Linked DNA regions of Neodiprion lecontei. The protein of the gene in region 2 purifies or fractionates together with the protein of the main gene of each other region. This does not show direct contact. Links are inferred from orthologs where the notes say so. Each region holds a gene or a part of one and is shown on either strand. Other genes may lie near its edges.

Region 1 (6,406 bases), on a different chromosome or scaffold from region 2:
TTCGTTACAGGGGCTCTCGGCTGTGGTCCGCAGGAAGAATTTAGGGCTTGTGCGGACATTTCAATTAGTAACTAATAATCAATCTTCACTTTTCCCTCAATTTATATCTGCGAGGTCAACTGAGATTTCTGCTACTAAAGAACATTCAGCATCTTATAATGAGTTACCTTTACTTGAAAACATCATAATATCGACGGGAATTTTAGGCGATGGATGTTTCCTCACTTGGTGCATGATTTTTAGTTTATCAGATAGCATTAAAAACTGTAAAAAACCGACAGGCACGAGCCTGTGAATATAATAAATATTTATATGCATAGACTAGCAAAACTGTTAGACATAGCCACATGCTTTCGTGGATTTTGATCGACGCCACCTTGTGTAAACAAGTCCCGTTAATTATAATTTTTATCTTTTTCTCACGCTATGATGATTGTAATCACTGAAATGTTAAGAATATAATATCAACACTTCAAGGGACAGATTCTTGACGAGAAGGTTCAAAATAACTGCAGCAGCGCATCGCGTCAAATTATTTTTTATTCTTAAGTAGCAGATTTCTAAAATCTGCATTACTCAGTGATTCCTTGCCAACAACGTTACCTGATATTCCTGCATCGCCATTTTTAGACAGAGGTTTCACACTGCGTGGTATCATAGAAAGCATAGTTTTTGGCGCATTGGAACCAGTTCGGCTTGTGGTTGTTCCACCAAGAGATTTAATAAGACTAACGTCATTGATCGATCCCTTTTTGCGTTCAGGAGGCTGACTGACAGCAACACTGATTACTTTGTCTTCTATGGTCATTCCATCAGTAGCTATCAGTGCTTTGCTCGCGTCAACTTCGCTTTTAAAATCAATGTAAGCAATACCTTTAGAGTGCCCATTGCGATACGTTACAAGGCGAACTTCCTTTAGGATACCATGAGCACCGAAGAGTTCTTCAATTTGCTCCTTTGTCATCGTCAAAGGAAGACCTTTGGGTAAAAGAAGTTGAGGTAATTGCTGTTCCATAAGCAAATGTTCGAAAAATACATTTTGAACATATTTCATAATGCGACTTAACATATTTTGTTCCACCTTTTCCGTAATTTTCAATTTCAGCAGAAACGTGATGGGTTTCCAAGAAATGTATGCAACTTGACTTTCTTTTTCACAACACAATCTGTTGACTTTAAGACTTCTAAATTGGGAAGACAAGAGTTGACAGTAACATGTTACCTTTTACAAAGAGTTTGTTCTTTTCCAATCCACAGCTATACTTGAATGCTGGTCCTCTGGTTGTTTTATCAGGATCGCATCGAGAAACAAACATGGGTCGGCCGTTAATTGGTGTTCTATCTAACTTAAGTGCCAATTCAACACTATCCTGTAACAAAAAATTATGACTGCAAATTTTTGACCAGTAGTTTTACTTTCATCATGTATGAAAATTAGGTCATCTTTGTCAACCTATCGTGCAGGTAATGAATTAAATACTCACTGCACTGCTAAGCTGCACGTAACAGAACCCTTTACTGCGACCTTTGAAATCTTGTACCATTTTAAAAAGAGTAATTGGTCCTGCAGGTTCTAAGGCGTTTCTTACTTCATCTTCCGTTGCATTGTAGTCCAAGTTGCTAACAAAAACGGTTATTCTCTCATCAACGGTGCGCGAGTTATCTTCATCCATCTTTTCAACTTCTTTTGACTTATATCCTGGCGGTGGTGCAAGTTTCGGCTTGGTGCTGGATTCGTCTTTGGATGGCTTATAGCCAGGTGGTGGTGTTATTTTATTCTCCACACTTAGAACGCTTTCCTTCAGCTTTGGCCTCGTAGTTGCTTCAAACTTTCCTTGCTTATTCGGAGATCCTTGCAAGTTTTTCCATCTACCTGTATCTTCAGGTTTTCTTTTGCCTGCCCGTTTGGCTGGTGCAGACGTAACTTCATGTGGCAAAGCAGCAGCTTGCACCTTCTTTCGCTCTTCGACAACCATTTCTAATTTCTCTTTTGTTTTCGCCTCACAGGATTCTAACTGTTCCAATGTCCCTTCATCCCGCTCAAAATCTAACCAAGCATTGATTATGCTCTCTGGCCAATCTTTGACAGATCCCAGTGCTTTTTGGTACAATTTACGAAGATGCTTTGTATCTCCGTAACACCTGGAACATTGAATAAAAATGGAATCATTGATTATTTTAGATTACATTTTAGAACAAATTGAATACAGTAACTTTTGTATACTTGGTATAAGCTGGACTATTATTTTTAATCGCATCTGAGATAATGACGTTCTAGATCTTCTAGATGTTCCCGTAAAGAGTTTTGAAATATGATATATTACTTATCAAATCATTAAGTACCTTTCCAAACCAATATATTCCAACCAACTGGCAGCAGCTGTGGAATGTCCTTGAGAGAGTATATCAGCCCACAAGGTTCTAGCCTTTTCCATGTCATTTGCATGAATTGCTTCGGTTCTGGCCCAGTACTGCAATACCACACATCCGGGATCGCCCTCCAGACCGAATGCTTTTGCCAAATATTCACAAGCGCGATTGAATGTTTCTCTGATAATTTCCAAGAGTTTTTTCTTGTCATCTGGGAATAGATCAATCCTGCGACGTAGATACTCAAGGTAAGTCAGCCACATACTGCGATATTCTTCAGCAGATGTGAAACCAGCCATTAAACCTTTCTCCAGTAATGCCTGCACTTCGGTTAATGGTTTATCCCATCTTTCATAGGCTCTTAACCATTTTTGCCAAATTACTACGTACCATGGTACATTTCTAGTAGCTCTTTCGTACAGTGGTTCCAAAATGGATTGGATTTTTATATTATTTTCCATGTATGTAATATATTCCAGCCACAGCGAACCTTCCAAACTAAGCTCAGCTATGGCTCGTTCGTAAAGTATATTGACACGTGCTGGATCTCCGTGTTGTTTTTCAAAACGTAGATATGCTTTAAAGGCATCTAATAATTCAGGCTCACCTTGAGCTGAAATAAGTTTTTCTTCAAAAGGTAAACGCAAGTTCAGTTTTGCGAACGCTCGTTCATAGCCAGTTAAAACAACATTGTCGTCTAGGGTTGCTTGTGTTCCGTCGCCAGCGCGCCACACTTCATATTCTTCATACGTTTTCTCCATGTCAAGTAGAGGACATGTTAACTGACGTCTGAATAAAGAGCCAACGCGATTTATCTGTTCTTTGCGCTCCGACTCGTTAGATGCGTCGATCTGAAAATATAAATGATTGTTCAGACTTGTTGTGAAATAATAATCATGCTACAAAATTTGATTTAAATTAAAAGTATTGATAGATTTTGATTATTGTGTTTGATGATAGTCTTACCATTAAAACTAACACATTTTCAAATTCTCTAAATGCTTCCCATATGATCGCGCCTTTGGTAACGTGCAAGCCAACGCAGGTTAATCCCTGTTCAAACAAATTTCTAATATCTGTAGCAGCGTCAGTAGCAGTACCCAAACTTCCTATAGCGAACTGAAGATATTCCAACCAAACTTCCACAGCTGTAATAAATTGAAATATTGGATCATGACATATTATGTCTCTCATCTATAATGAAAATTAGTTAGTTTTCGATTGAGCTACACAAGTTTTCATATATTCTTACAATTTCATTATAATCTAAATAGAAAATATTTTTTCAACAATTACAGGTTGTTCAAAGAGTTGATTTTTCCCTTATAAAAAAAAAAAACTATAAATAAAAGAGCAAAAAAGTTGTAATGCACCTAGCCATTGCAAAAAAATTTGTGTGTTCTATAGATTGTGACAGGATAATGTGAACAGTGCCTACGGTATGAATGAAACAATTGCCTTTGTTCTCTGCACTTTTATGATTACATGAATAATGTGAAAAATTTAGGAGAAAAAGGAATTCTAAAGGATAATAAAGGTGAAATACAAAAAACAAATGGAACGTACAAAGATAGTCTTTTACTGCTCGCTCGCACAACTTTGTGACCGCCTCTCGTTCAGCGCTGGTTTTAACCGAGCCGATTTCATCTCGCAACCAGGAAAGCCATAGTTCAGAGCTAAGAGGATACTTGGAGCTCATAGCTTCTCTGGCACTTTTCAGTTGATCTGAATATTTCTCGCCCATCTCTTGCAATTTTGTTATCAAAGCAACATGGCTAGAATAATCATAGGGACTTTCTTCCAGCTTAGCATTCAAGAGTTTGATTTCTGCTTCGTTAGCCTCTTCGTCATCAGAATCGCTGTCGTCGTCAATATCATTGTCATCCATTCCTAATTCTTTTTCAAAATCTGCTTCGTCTTCTATCATATTGTAGTTGGAATTATCAAGATTATTACCCTGTTCTCCATCAGAGTCCAAAAGGAAATCGCTGTCATTTTTCTCGTCCTCGCCAGGATGTTCCAACTCCATTTCATCCATTGTTAGTTATTTACGCGAGTATTATGTACGATGTCTTTCGATATCAAACCCTATACGGCTAATGATCCAATGTTATGAAAATGACCGATCTTCTATTTGCTTCGTAGAATAACATTTAGGACACGGTCAGGATCTCAGGGTGTCAAACATTGAAGGTTATGTTTTTATACATCCCGAAATTACAACGTATAAATGAGTAACATCTGCGCAGACGTCGATTGCGCATTACCGCGCGATTACCCACAAGTCGCTTCGAAGGGTTATTTCAAAAACGATTGTGAAAGTTAGATTTAATTATAATGATTATAATGAAATCACAGCGAGATTACAAAGTGGATCTTGTTTTCAGCAGAAATTTGGAAATTGCGGTATTAGGACTGATAGAATTACAGAAAGAAAGCTTCCGCATTATTTTAAATAATCCTGACGGATTGTCATACCGATTTGTAACTTATAAAGCTTTTCAACAATCTCACGATTCAAACAATCCTTCGTAATTATCCAAAAAATATTACTGATAATTCTTTAGCACCTTGTGTGTAAAGGCCAAGCAATCAAACAGGCTGTAAGATAGTTGGTAATACATATTGTGAACAACTATTCCTTCATTATAGGGAAGCTTTCGCAAATTTCGTACAAGCTTTTGTTGCTCTCACACACGACTTACTGATGCGATGCTATAACCAATAATGCATCACAAAAAATCATCTACTTTGTACCAAGAATTTTCCTTACACACGAGTAAATTTTATATCAGTTTTTGTATGTATTTATAGTAAACTTTTCCTATCGTTTGTCTCTACGCGAAATAAATATACATCTGCATACGTATTGGTATTGAAACTTTGAGTGTTATTCCCCTTACATATGATCATATAGGTACGGCTTTTGCAGAGGAGAAAAAAGGTCAGGGGACCGGTTTCTAAACTTTTTTTAAGTAACGTGCGTCAGACTTAACGCTCCTTAGCCCAGAGTCACATTTACAGTATTTTGCGTACGGTGAAGTTGCCCACGCTTTATGTTACTACATTATTATACAGAAAGAATGTTCAACAGCAATTGTTGGTCTCAGCCGTTGTACACATAATCACATGTGTATGAATATCCATATGCATACTTCTAATGTGGTACTTCTCCAATTAGTCTAGTAATCTATGAAGTCATGTGTGAGGCAATAAGAATAAGGAAACGCGATTACGTGCACGATTTCAGCTTTTCTTTTTGTGTTTTCGCATATATCTACATAGGGCAATGCAGATATTACGTCGCAATGCATGTTCAAGTTCTCTATATTTACTCTCATCCGTGACGACTTGAAACCAATATATGCATAAACAAAATCGTCATTATGGATGATTTAAACTATAGTGAATAGCTATAAAATGGAAACACAAAGAAACAGGACCATTATAATGAGTAATAATAGTGCGTTCGATATTTACATCTGCTTGCCCGATTACCTCGAAACACGACGCTTCTTCTTTTTCCTCGCGACGCGTTTAGGGGCGTTTTTTTCTCTTCCGGCGACGCGTTTCGAGGTGATCGAGTAATCAGACGTAAACATCGAACTCAGCTTGAATTTTTTATGTACAATTTTTCATATTTTACGACAAATTTGTTTTCAGAATATCGGCAAATATATGCAGTTGTAACCTGTTTCACATTAGACCGGAATTTGTAATCGAAATGAAATTACGACGTTTTAAACTGTCATATTCGTGATGGATTTTTATAATTATCCATTCATCTTACAAATGAAACATGTGAATTAATTTTGGGCATGAATTATTAGATCTCCAAAGTCCAGATTTTCCGTAAACTCTTTCTTCAACGACCAGAAAAACATTTCCAACAAAATGAGCAGTTTGTACACGTCAATTGGATAGAAGACAGGTTCTTATGACAATAAGACGGGGAACCCCCCCCCCCCCCATAATACCGGGAGGACTGGACCAATGTGTCTGCTTTCAGAGTTACTCGATACAAGTATAAATTGAG
Region 2 (5,697 bases):
GCAGCCGATATACACTAGTTATCAATTATATTATACTATATTATTTAACAATAAACAATCGATCACGGACTATGTACGAATAAATTAACTATATTCTGAAGTGAGTGAATTCTCCCGGCTTCGACGGATTGGTCAATTCTTCCCGGTTACCTTGGCACGTGCCGCTTCGATCATAATTCTTGAAGGAATAGCTCCAGCATAGGTCTTTTCTAGTTTCCTGATCATTTTCCGCCGCTAGATCCGCTTTGTTTTCCTTATCATACGTCAAATCGTTCTTCAGTACGTTTCCTGCTTTGTTACGGTTCTTCTTTTTATATCCCTGACCCATTCCAGCAGCGAAGCTCTGCCGAATCACTGTGGAAAGGTTTGCTTCGTCTGTAGGGATGTTGAGAATTTTTCTCGGCATCACGGCACCGTCTATTAATTTTCCCCGCGTATATTTGTCCTGGTTTTGAACCGACTTCTTCGGCGTAACGAGGTAGTAATTCTCCTCGTTCTCCCTGTCGCTGTAGTAAACAAGCTTCTTTGGCCTCAACACCTTCTTGTCGAATTCCTTGCGAGACTTGATCGGTGCTCCTGGCGTCGAGGCGCATCTTTCCTGAATATTCGGTGGCGTGGCTCGACCATTTTCATTCACATCCTCGTCATCCTCGCAATCCTCGTAGACCAAAACCCTGGCTGCAGGGTTCGTCCGCTGGTTGTTCACCTTGATGTCGAATCGTTGTTGATTAGTACTTGATACCTGAAATAATATTGCGCATTGGTTACAAATCATTATCTGCGTAAACGAATTAAAGAATGATAATCACAATGTGACTGCGTTTCTCACCTTGATACTTTTTTTCTCGACCTCGGTGAAGTCGTGAAAGACGCTGGTAACCGTATCGAAACATTTCAATTCTTTCGAAATTATTTTACCCTGTATTTTACGATCACTTCCTATCATTTCGACTCCGTTCTTCGCTGGTTCGGAATTGAATATCAACGCTCTCGCTGCCTTCTTCTTCCTTTCCGCCATTTTATTTTGTACTTTTTCACATTGGGCGTACAATAAGCTCTTCAACGCATAATGTCATGGAGATATACATAATTCATCCGAAGATAGATTCATATCTGTATACTTACTTCGTTATCCGAAATCTCCGAAATGTGAAGCTGGTATGCAAACGTAACGAAACAAAAAAATCTCGCGAGTGACGATTAAAAATTTTAAACCGTCATTATCGCGGCTCTCTTCACATCGTCCCTTTTATCACGAGTAAATCACGCATTGGCCTTGCCAATGATTAATATCTGAGACTCAGACAAATGGGAAATGCTAATTATTACTGAATCGTCAATCACCACTGAGTAAAAAGAAAATGATAATCGGTATTGTAATAAATACGAGTCCGTGGTACCAACAATTTTTTTCAGATATTTTTTTTTTTCCACGTTCCTCTTTCGAGACAACGGGACAACAATTCAGAAATTAACGCAAGCTACCAGTTCTTTAATTACTTCTCATCACGTATACGGAAATGATCAGGACTTACCTTAAGTAAGCAGATTGTAAGGTGAGAACAGGCCTGAGTTGGAAATGATAAGAACGAAACGGAATTAAGGTAACGAGTGCCAAAAGATCGGATGACTCGCAAGTGAGTTCGCAGAACATAATCCGAAGTGAATATCTGTTTGAAAAACAATTGAACAGCAGCCGCGGAAGATTACAAATATCCGGCCAATCAGATCACCGTATACAGCGGCAAGGGCCAATGGCCAAGCTGCTTCAACGCTGGGCGGGAAACCGCGAAATACCGCTCCTTTTTTTTCGTGTTGCGCAATGTCGCCCGAAGTTAACCGAAGTCGGTTCGGCTCGGCAGGCAGCAGCCCACATGGAAAATGGAGATTGAACAGAGTGAGCAAAGGAGGCATTCGCCATCGTTGATGGTTGTATGGCAGGCGTCGTGAAACGGGCGGGTCGCTGCAGCGAAGAATAGAGCGTATTTGTGTGCTTAATGACTGTCGAAAGTGGACCGAATCGAGGAAGAAAATAGCCGCGAGCAGTTGAGAGGTAATGTTTAACGGGCTATTAGCCACAAAATTGTCAAAACATTATATTAAATTGCAGACTTCACGGGAGCTGAACCATTATCGGGGCACGTAAACTACCCATTGCGCATGCGCCGTTGCGGGAATGATAAATTTACGCGCAATACGTTTGGCTAACGTTTAATTATTCGACTGGATATATTTCCACCTCACATACCTGTCATTCCGAATTTTCCTCGAATTTTCATGCATCAATTCACCCGCCGTATCCTCCCATCTCTAAGACCCAATCTCTTTGTCATTTTAACTGATATTAAACAATTAACACCAGTCGTACTTAAAACCTTATATTTTACTAATTAATTAAAATAAGAACGTCCTGTTGTTCAATTTCACACATTATTTTATCCATGCCACATTTATATCTATACGAGTCGACTGCTTGCCTAGTGCATTCGTGCCTTTTGTTCTGATTCAAGTATTCAGCATCAGGCGCAAATACAATTTCTAACAAATTTTATATTTAATTTTTTTATTTCAGTCCAGTGAATCAGAATTAGCGAAATGTCATCAGCTCAACTTGATCGTCAAATGAGGATGGGGAGTGTGAAAGAAAGGAAGGAGAACGAGAAGGGTAAAAAATCTGTCAACCTGGTTTACAAGAAGCACAAGCACGAGGAAAGTCGTCATTTTAAGTTCAGCAGAAAACGTTCGCAGAGTTTTACAGGGAATGGAAAATTTTTCCCACCTCATAAACGGCGTAAGAAAGACGGAGGTATTATTCCGCCGACAAAGTTTTTGCTCGGCGGTAACATCTGCGATCCGTTGAATCTGAACAGCATGCAAGACGAGGAGATAAACAGAGCGATGAATGCAGTTACTCCGAAGTCGAGTCCTCTGCCGACGCCGAAACATAGGAAAGGCGCCATCGAAGTTATCATTCCGCCTAACATATGCGACCCTCTGAATCTGAACAATTGTAATGACGATGATGAGTACGAGAAACATCTAATTTCCCCCACAAAAAAGGGCTCCAAGAGACGAAACAGAAAACGCAAACGCGCATCGTCCAGCTCTGGAAGGGACGATGCTATTGAACCAGCTTCGGAAGCAAAGAACAGCGAAAAGGAATCGGTAGAAAATGCCGAACCTGTGCCTGCTGGCGTTGAAGAGAAGGTCGAAATTAAGCTTGCCCCTGCACCTCTGAGTTCTCCGCCTAGTAATCCTCCAGTAGTGGAAACTAAACCAGAAACTACTAGTCCTCAGAAAGATAAGAACAAGTTACGCCTCAAGGGGCTCGACGATCTGAAAGACAAACGACTGCGTAAGGTGGACGTTAAGGATAAAATTGTCAGTCCTGTTATCCCACAACCTGGGGCTTGGAAACCGAGACCGCAGCATCGTGCTAGTCAAGACAAAAAGAAAAAGGCACAAAAATTGCCCAACTTTAGAGCCAAGGATGCGCAGTATCAATACGGCAACTATAACAGGTATTTGTTTAATTAAGTAAAGTTATAATTCTCTTAGTATTAAACATTTTTCAAATATCTACTTTTTTGAGTTTATTACAAAATGATTAAAGAATCAAGGACTCATTTGGTAAATTAATTTTATTTCTAGGTATTACGGATATCGAAATGCCCATGCCGAAGAAGATGGAAGACTCGGCGTGTTCGCCAGAAGAAAAGAGTTATTCTACGGGAAGGACGTGCTGGACATAGGATGCAACATTGGACACATTACATTGTCGATCGCCCGTGATTTTGCCGCACGTAGCGTGACTGGAATAGACATCGACAGGAAGCTGATTAACATAGCGAGGAAGAATGTCAAGCATTATGTGAACTGTGTCAGATCACCGGCGACTCACGAAGACGGAGGGAAAGGAAAAGACTGCGACGCGAGCTTTTATCCCCTATCGATGCCAATCAGCTACGGACTTATCGATATACCTGGTTTTACAAAGAACAAAAGTCAAAAAGGCTTCCCATACAACGTCACCTTTGTACAGGTAAGCAGCGATTTCATTTACATCTGCAAAAACTCGCTGTCATTCCAAAAAAGCGTCCTGTAACGATTTTTTCTCTACCATTTTTCAGGGTAACTATATATTGGAAGACGACGCGCTGCTGGCTTCGGAACAGCCGCAGTTCGACGCTATATTATGCCTGTCAATAACAAAGTGGCTGCACTTAAATTTCGGCGACTTGGGACTGCAGAGAGCTTTCAAAAGAATGCACGCCCAGCTGAGACCCGGCGGTGTACTTGTACTCGAGCCTCAGAGTTGGGGCAGCTATGGAAAGAAGAAGAATCTCACTGTAAGTAATCGTGATCGTTATATCTGGACGGCGCAGTTTTTTCGTTATTAAGAAAATTGATCATATACTTCTGGTTATGCTTTCAGGAACGGATATACAAGAATTATCACAGCATCGAGTTCTTACCGCACAAGTTTACACAGTATTTGCTGTCACCGGAGGTCGGTTTCAGTAAATGCGAGGTAGTTTCCATACCGCCACATCCTTCCAAGGGCTTCCAGCGGCCGATTCAGCTTTTTACAAAGGCACCCCTGACTCCCGAGACCGCAGGTGAACCGACACCAAGCTCGATGGCGCAAAGTGAACGCAGAGATTTTGAAAGGGATTTATTTCCAAAGGATTCTAAGAAGGAGGGAGGGAACATGTCGGAGATGAGTCAAATCAGCACGGAGTCACTCAGCCAATATGAGCAGTTAGAAAATGTTTACGCGCCCAGCGCCACACCCTGCTACGATACCCCGTGCCACACAAACGATAGTCAGCCGATAGAGCCTAAGACGATGTGTTACATTGATATGGATATAGAGAATGCGGAGAGCGCTGCTGCTGGTGCTGCTGCTAGTGCTGCTGCAAGTGCGGCAGTCGGTGGCAGAGGTGAGAAAACAGACATCGGTAACGATAACAAGCAGCAGTCAAAAGGCAGATGATAAGAAATTTGAAGAACTGTCGATGATAATCACTACGAGTAAATTAACCGAGTATCAACTAAAGCGGATAAAAATTCGACTGCAGAACGAGAGGGTGATATTTGAGAGTAGAGAAGGAATGAAAAAAAAAAAAAAAGATACCTACTTGTGATAAATGATGGACACGATTGAAGCGGATAATTGATACTTTGTTGCCAAAGTTCAACTCGAAACCACAAGAAAAATAAAGATATTGACAAATACCAGTGACGACAATCGCGAATGTCATAGCCTAGCTACATAGCGTTCTAAAAAATGTATTTCTGATCAACGAGATGGAGGATAATGTACTTCTCTTGGGCTCGACGGACAAGAAGAAGAAGAAAACGAAGGAGACGAAGAGGTGAAAAATAAAAAGAAGTATATGAATTTGAGCGGAAGTATAAATGCGGCAAAGTGCGGTAAAGCAATAGGTAATAATATCGATAAAAGACGATGCAAAACACTGTCAAGAGTGACGAACCAAACCACTATGAGCGTAAAACAATTCTGCGATCGTTAACAATATGCGAGAAGAAACAGAGATCGATTGTATAAATATGTACGTAAATCTAAGGTAGAGCAATAGCTATGAGAAAGTAGACGAAAGAGACTGGAGAATAGATGAAACGAGTAAAGTGACGAGCAAAAGAGAAGGGAATTAATAGAAATGAGAAATATCT
Region 3 (5,938 bases), on a different chromosome or scaffold from region 2:
GAACATAACTAAATAACTACGTCAATACATCTTTTGCAGTCGTAGACATTATTTTGCAATCATTAATTTTAGCTACGGCGTTTTAGATACCGTATTTCAAAGCTTATTGCAATAATAAAAAGATAAGAACTTTGAGACAAGCGAGATGAGAAGTGGTGATTTTTAGAGTAATCAAATAATGTAGCATGAAGTCTTCGAATATCAAATATTACGTATAAATGTAACTACAATATATGACTAAGTAGCATACTCGTATAAATTGAAATATACATATTCGATTTCAAGTCATGTGGTAATCGTAGAACTTTTAATGCTGTGGTTCATTACTGTACTACTATATCGTTTGACTTTTCGTTTGTTGATAATCATGAATAAAATAAAGGGAAGTTGCATTGTTTGGAAATACTACAAAGCTCTCCTAGAGCATGCCACTAATTAGCAATTACTTAGTTATATCATTCTTGAGCTTTTCAAATTTTTTCTGAATTTGAATTGAAAACTGGTCATTTTTTCATTATACAAATCATTCGACAAGTATCTCCATAAAATTGAACGTCAAAGTGAATGTAAAATACGCGTTTAAATCATCCGTCTTGAACTAACATCAAATAATCAATTGCGTCGTGAAAATTACGAAAATGAATCGTATACAGCAGTTTGTAATATCACTACTTTAATATTTGAAGTAATACAAGTACTGGGTTAGCAAAACATAAAAAATTGAGGTAATTATGTTTTTCGTCAGAATAATGCCAAAATGAGAAGAAACTTTCTTCACTCGTTAATTTGTTTTTGTTGGTTTTTTTTTTTTTTTTTCTCTTAGTATCTAGTGTAATATTATTCTCGCACTCGTTAGGAAGATTGAACAATGATAAAAACTGTTAGTCGGTAAGGATAAACATTAAATACCTGATATACATATATTATCTGTTATGTAATTTGGTAAAAATCATCACGTGAATAAAACCATTTTATATGAAATGCGTGTTTGCTCTCGCTCGTTGAAATATGAGCAAAATGAATACAACATTTTTTAATGTTTGTTTGAAATAATCAATAAATTTCTCACATTCTACTACACATTTGATGTTGTTTTTTTTGTAGATTAGTATTTACGAATACTAATCTACAAAATTTTTTTTTATTTTTTTTAGTAGAATAGTAGTTACGAATAGATCAGATAGCAGGGCAGACAAGCAACTACGTTCGTTACAAACTAATAACTTAAGTTTTATTATGTCCGTTCACAGTATCCATGTAATAATTACAATGGTTCTGTCATATCTTCAAAACTCATTGATACGTTAAACGATCTTACGTCTTATCCTTTTTCAGTTTGACTCGTCGCTTTCTTTGTTTATTTTTAACTGAACTTTGAGCTTTTATGAACTCCCTTACGTTTAACTTATTTATAAAATACTGTCGTAACGTTTCCAATGCATTTCTACCTCCAGAACCACTTTCAAATATCATTGATATTTTCAATTTCTTTTCGTTATCATTAGGTTCGATCTCCCCCACAACCAAATCGCAAATTAAAAACGATCCTTTGACGGGCTGAGTATTCACACCATTTGGCAACGCTGTAGTCTTTTCTTCTCTTTCAGAATCATCTCCGAAAGATGCATCCAAGGCTTCTTGTTTCTCAGAATCATTCTCAGAAAATATATCTGGGCAAGGCCTTTTAGATGGTAAACTTTGATTAGCCATCATTCGACGCTTTCTGCGTCCATGTGACCATGTGTCCTCATCAGCCATCAATTGGCAACACCAATAACTCGATTCTTGCGGATTCACATGTAATTCTTCAACTCGGATCTGTTCAATACAATTTTAGTGTCAATATCTACCAGTTAATTTGTTTGCCAACATTAAAAGAAAGATACATGATCTCGTTACCTTCAACTCATTGAATAAAAGTCTCAGTATTAAAACTAATTCCTTAGTCTCTGTCATGCCATCTCTTACAGGGAAAGTTATTTCTGACGGAGGTCGTTTAGCTTTCTGTTTTAATTTTTTGCTGCATCCGCTAATTCTTATGACTGGTGCAGTTGTCAAGTCCAGCACATCTTTTGACAGAAAAGTCCAAGCTAGACCCCATCTAATAAAATAAATTTGATAATTTATGTCATGATATTGTATTCTAAAAATTGACATCTTAACCAAGAACTTTGATAATTTAACACATGTAATTGCTTTACCTAGTTGTATGACCCTGACAAAATTCAGTCCATGTAGAGTTTTCGATATTTCGTTTCTTGAATTCATTGCACAAAAATGTAAGACTAGTCTTTTTACCAAGCATAGTTGTATAGATCTTTATTTTATTGTTCAGCTCGACACTATCGTTCAACATTTTCAAAACAAATTGTATTTCCCCGCCTTCTACGACCAATTCAGCTTCGCTCCCAGATGGTGCGTTTCGCGGGGGCATTCGGGAACCTGAAGGTTTTGATCCAGTGGCCGTGTCCTCTTCGGCACAAAAGAATGGCGGATTGCACATTGTGAATGTATATACATTGTTCTCAGGTACTGACCCTCTGAGTACCGTACCTCTGTTTACACGTATCACTGATGAGATAGACAAAGAGTTTTATATTCATTTAAAGAAGGAATCTGTAGCTAGAAAAATCATTAACAATTACAGAGCATGATGGGAATTATTGTTACAGTAACAGCGTTGAGCCATTTAGACTCTACTTACCTTCAACGAGGTCATGCAAGTTGTTGCTATTTACATTACGCACCGCAGACTCGTAACTTTCCAAATCAACTTCCGTGCCGATCATTCTACATCCATAGATCTTTGCAAATAACAATGGATAGACGCACACCGCTCCAGTGCCTTTGAAGAGAGTTAAATTAAAAGTATATCAACAGCACTACATAAAATTGAAACTCAATTTCAGGTGAATCAATTATACCTATGTCAATGCCAGAAATCAAAGACATGTCTGTAATACCGGCGTGCTTTGCTAAATCCTCTATCCAGAGTACGTAATTCAAACGCAGAGGTACGGCTGGGACCAGCTTTGTGGCTGGTAGATCTACGTTCAAATCATAATCATGTTTTAGAAGGGTTTTGGTCAGTATTCTCAAGGTTTCTAGATCATGGAAATTAATCCGCACCTTTCCCGCGAGATCCTGAAATGTAATAAAATCTATGCAACATAACAGAAATGCGAATTCAAACTGAGGAATCAGGTGCAACAGAAAATAATCGATCGCGTGTGTAGTGTCTTGCGGGAATCGAGTGATTAGACATGTCATAGGCACATGCGAGCACTGTGATGTTTCAATGTGATATACTGTTTTTACCGTTGTCGCAATTTTACGAAACTCCGGATAAAGTATGGCTAGTTGCTTGAAATTTGGCTCCTGCTTGTACTTGTTCCTCGGATGCATGAACCGTCGCAAAGACATTTTTTTGTTCGACGCAACTGGATTTATAGGTTATATCAACGTTTCCTGACATGTGATTCCGCACGCTGCAGGTTTTGAAACAAGCCATTACACAAGGTTTAAAATTCGCAAGACATACAGTGACGTGCTTCTCGACTACCGGCTTCGCTTGAATGATTGAAAAAAAACTAGTGTAAAAATTCGATTAGACTCTTGACTTGTTGTGTACGGGAAAACTGACGATTAACACTGAACTGTTACCTAGTAGGTCCGTGACACATTCCTCGCTTCCACAGGTCTTCGTATGCCTTATAATCCTGCGTTTTGTCTTTATATGGACTCAGATTCCATACTTTCTTACTGAAGCCATTTAAAGCCGACAGCACAAACACAAATACGCAGCTGCCGAGGTACGAACGAATTTCGAGTCGCACTCGTGACAAATTCCTGACAATGAACATGTATTCTTCAATAGTGTATTTCAAAATCAACTTTTTTCGTCTTGGTCCGCCCTGAAGTAACGCAAGCCAGATGAAAATTTAGCTTTAAATTAAGTAAAAAATGTTTTCAAAACATTAAAACCAGACGAATTCAAACACAAGATACAAGATGGCCACCGATGCCGGTGCCTGCAATTTTATTTCGGCTGTATGATCAATTTTCAGAATTTAAAGGCTAATTAGTACTGACTCTCCTCAAATGAAATGATGGCAAAATAATGGAATGTAATGGAGCCATCATTTAATTTTTGATGAGAGCTCAGAAACTGAGAATTTAGCTGTCTTGCCCACTCCTTCATTCATCGCGCATCTCACCAATCACAATACCGCATTTGTACCACCTGATAATGCGTGCTATGGTGCGTGCCAAAGTACGATATGCGTATGTGTGTGTGTGTGTGTGTGTGTACTACATGCGTACTATGGTCATTCTTGATTACAGCCGCTAGTTGACTTGATTCAACAATCCTAGTTTCATTCTCTTCCGCAGAGGCGAACGTATCACAATCCCACGATAGGCTTCGGCGCGAGCCGACAGTGGTAGCGAATATCATACCCATATTCGTGCGTAATATGTGGGCTTGTATGTATGCGAAGGGAGAAGGTTGGAATTCAGATAAAGCAAGGAGTAGTGTCGAGTCACCAGTCAGCCAGTCATTATTCCTCTGCAGTTTTACCAAGTCCCATTCGGTCTTATTGTTAGGCGAGGATGTGATTCTTCCAAGCTACCTGTTGAATCAGCGCTACCGATAAACTATGGCGTATTTGTTGAAAAACTTGACAAACAGCATCTGGCATGCGTTTTACGCTCTGCAAGGTGACACCCCGGGTATCGTTGCGAAATCTAAATTAAAGGTGCGTATGAATTCGAGCGTATCTCACAATGTTGACAAACGCACGCCGTATGACGTGATTAGTAAATATTATAATGCTGAAGCTGTTTACTTAACCGTGAAGTTTCTTAGAACTTTATGTTTGAGGGTGTGGCTTTTTTCACGACACTTTCACATGTCACTTCAGGTGTTGACAGCCAACTTTGGAACCTTGATGGATCTGTATGGGGTTGAGAAGGGGCTCGATGATTACCGAAGCACCCAGTGGCTGACGTTCGATCAATTTTTATATTACTTACAGAATGAAGTAAGTTTTGTCACTATACTTATTCTTATTATTATCGTCATCATTTGTCGGTACAGTCATTTTATCCATCTCAGGTCTTTGCCTCTATTTCTGATGCAACACCAATGCAAACCTGCAGACTTCTTGAAGAACGCATCGAGGAGATATGCTGGCTTGTTTCTCGAAAAGCGTACGCAGATCAGAAACACAGAGTCTTTGAAGATCGCAGCATTTATCAACTCTTCAGAATATTCTGTCTTTTAGCAGAGATGGGAACACATAACGCAGAGTCATCGTATCTCGTAAGTCATCGTAAAAAATTCTACTCCCTTACTTTCCAAACAATCAGATCTTATTCTAAAACCCTTAACACTTTTTAATCTGAGGTTTTTTTACTCGTAATAGATAACCATGCACAGCAACGAGGTAGCTCAAATATCTTCCCAACTCGTGACATCATTGGGTCTTCATTGGGACTCGTCAGACTTTGCCGAATTATCTGCAGCGTTGACTGCATTCAGGTAATTCCTCTTTTGCAAATGTCTGCATGTTATGCGTTTCATAAACGAAGTTGTGTTCTGAATCAAATGCAGAAATACTTGTTCACATTTATCTTGGTTTTAGTTATCGTAAAAAATCACTGTACCTAAAGTTGAAAGACTTTCAGACTGAAAGCAGCAGGATCTCCTTGTCTTATCCATGTAGCATTTAGTTAAACGTATTTCCAAAAAGATTCCCCACATTTCTGGCAGTGTTGGAGTCCAAGTACAGCGGTGGAGGAACTTTGGACACAGCTGCTGTAGCTGAGGCTATAGATGACCTTTACCAGATCTATGTTAATGACGTCATCAAAAAAGTGAGGCACCGCTAAGGCGATCAAGTTCTGAAATATCAATCTTTCAGAGATCCTATAACTA

The links. The genes of interacting proteins can lie anywhere in the genome.
Region 1: the proteins of 7SK snRNA methylphosphate capping enzyme bin3 (region 2) and squamous cell carcinoma antigen recognized by T-cells 3 purify together in Homo sapiens (affinity purification with mass spectrometry; 6 studies listed by BioGRID and IntAct, counting the BioPlex papers as one, with this or other methods). This does not show direct contact. The link is inferred for Neodiprion lecontei from reciprocal best matches to the Homo sapiens genes MEPCE and SART3.
Region 3: the proteins of 7SK snRNA methylphosphate capping enzyme bin3 (region 2) and U6 small nuclear RNA (adenine-(43)-N(6))-methyltransferase purify together in Homo sapiens (affinity purification with mass spectrometry; 3 studies listed by BioGRID). This does not show direct contact. The link is inferred for Neodiprion lecontei from reciprocal best matches to the Homo sapiens genes MEPCE and METTL16.

Annotation. Positions count from the first base shown.
Region 1 is NC_060262.1:27,133,184-27,139,589, forward strand, and holds squamous cell carcinoma antigen recognized by T-cells 3, read right to left. Parts: upstream 4,597-6,406; 5' UTR 4,409-4,596; coding exon 3,937-4,408; intron 3,519-3,936; coding exon 3,337-3,518; intron 3,222-3,336; coding exon 2,344-3,221; intron 2,143-2,343; coding exon 1,485-2,142; intron 1,371-1,484; coding exon 1,223-1,370; intron 979-1,222; coding exon 533-978; 3' UTR 523-532; downstream 1-522. Other genes in the region: uncharacterized protein LOC107219862, read left to right, coding at 11-75. UniProt on the Homo sapiens protein: U6 snRNP-binding protein that functions as a recycling factor of the splicing machinery. Promotes the initial reassembly of U4 and U6 snRNPs following their ejection from the spliceosome during its maturation.
Region 2 is NC_060263.1:3,587,167-3,592,863, forward strand, and holds 7SK snRNA methylphosphate capping enzyme bin3, read left to right. Parts: upstream 1-1,879; 5' UTR 1,880-2,053; intron 2,054-2,572; 5' UTR 2,573-2,595; coding exon 2,596-3,521; intron 3,522-3,651; coding exon 3,652-4,042; intron 4,043-4,130; coding exon 4,131-4,349; intron 4,350-4,435; coding exon 4,436-4,996; 3' UTR 4,997-5,176; downstream 5,177-5,697. UniProt on the Homo sapiens protein: S-adenosyl-L-methionine-dependent methyltransferase that adds a methylphosphate cap at the 5'-end of 7SK snRNA (7SK RNA), leading to stabilize it.
Region 3 is NC_060264.1:4,387,263-4,393,200, reverse strand, and holds U6 small nuclear RNA (adenine-(43)-N(6))-methyltransferase, read right to left. Parts: upstream 4,142-5,938; 5' UTR 3,664-4,141; intron 3,657-3,663; exon of another isoform or gene 3,489-3,656; 5' UTR 3,424-3,488; coding exon 3,319-3,423; intron 3,145-3,318; coding exon 2,925-3,144; intron 2,846-2,924; coding exon 2,705-2,845; intron 2,572-2,704; coding exon 2,202-2,571; intron 2,102-2,201; coding exon 1,900-2,101; intron 1,819-1,899; coding exon 1,315-1,818; 3' UTR 523-1,314; downstream 1-522. Other genes in the region: switch-associated protein 70, read left to right, coding at 4,659-4,757, 4,923-5,042, 5,117-5,323, 5,427-5,542, 5,754-5,877. UniProt on the Homo sapiens protein: RNA N6-methyltransferase that methylates adenosine residues at the N(6) position of a subset of RNAs and is involved in S-adenosyl-L-methionine homeostasis by regulating expression of MAT2A transcripts.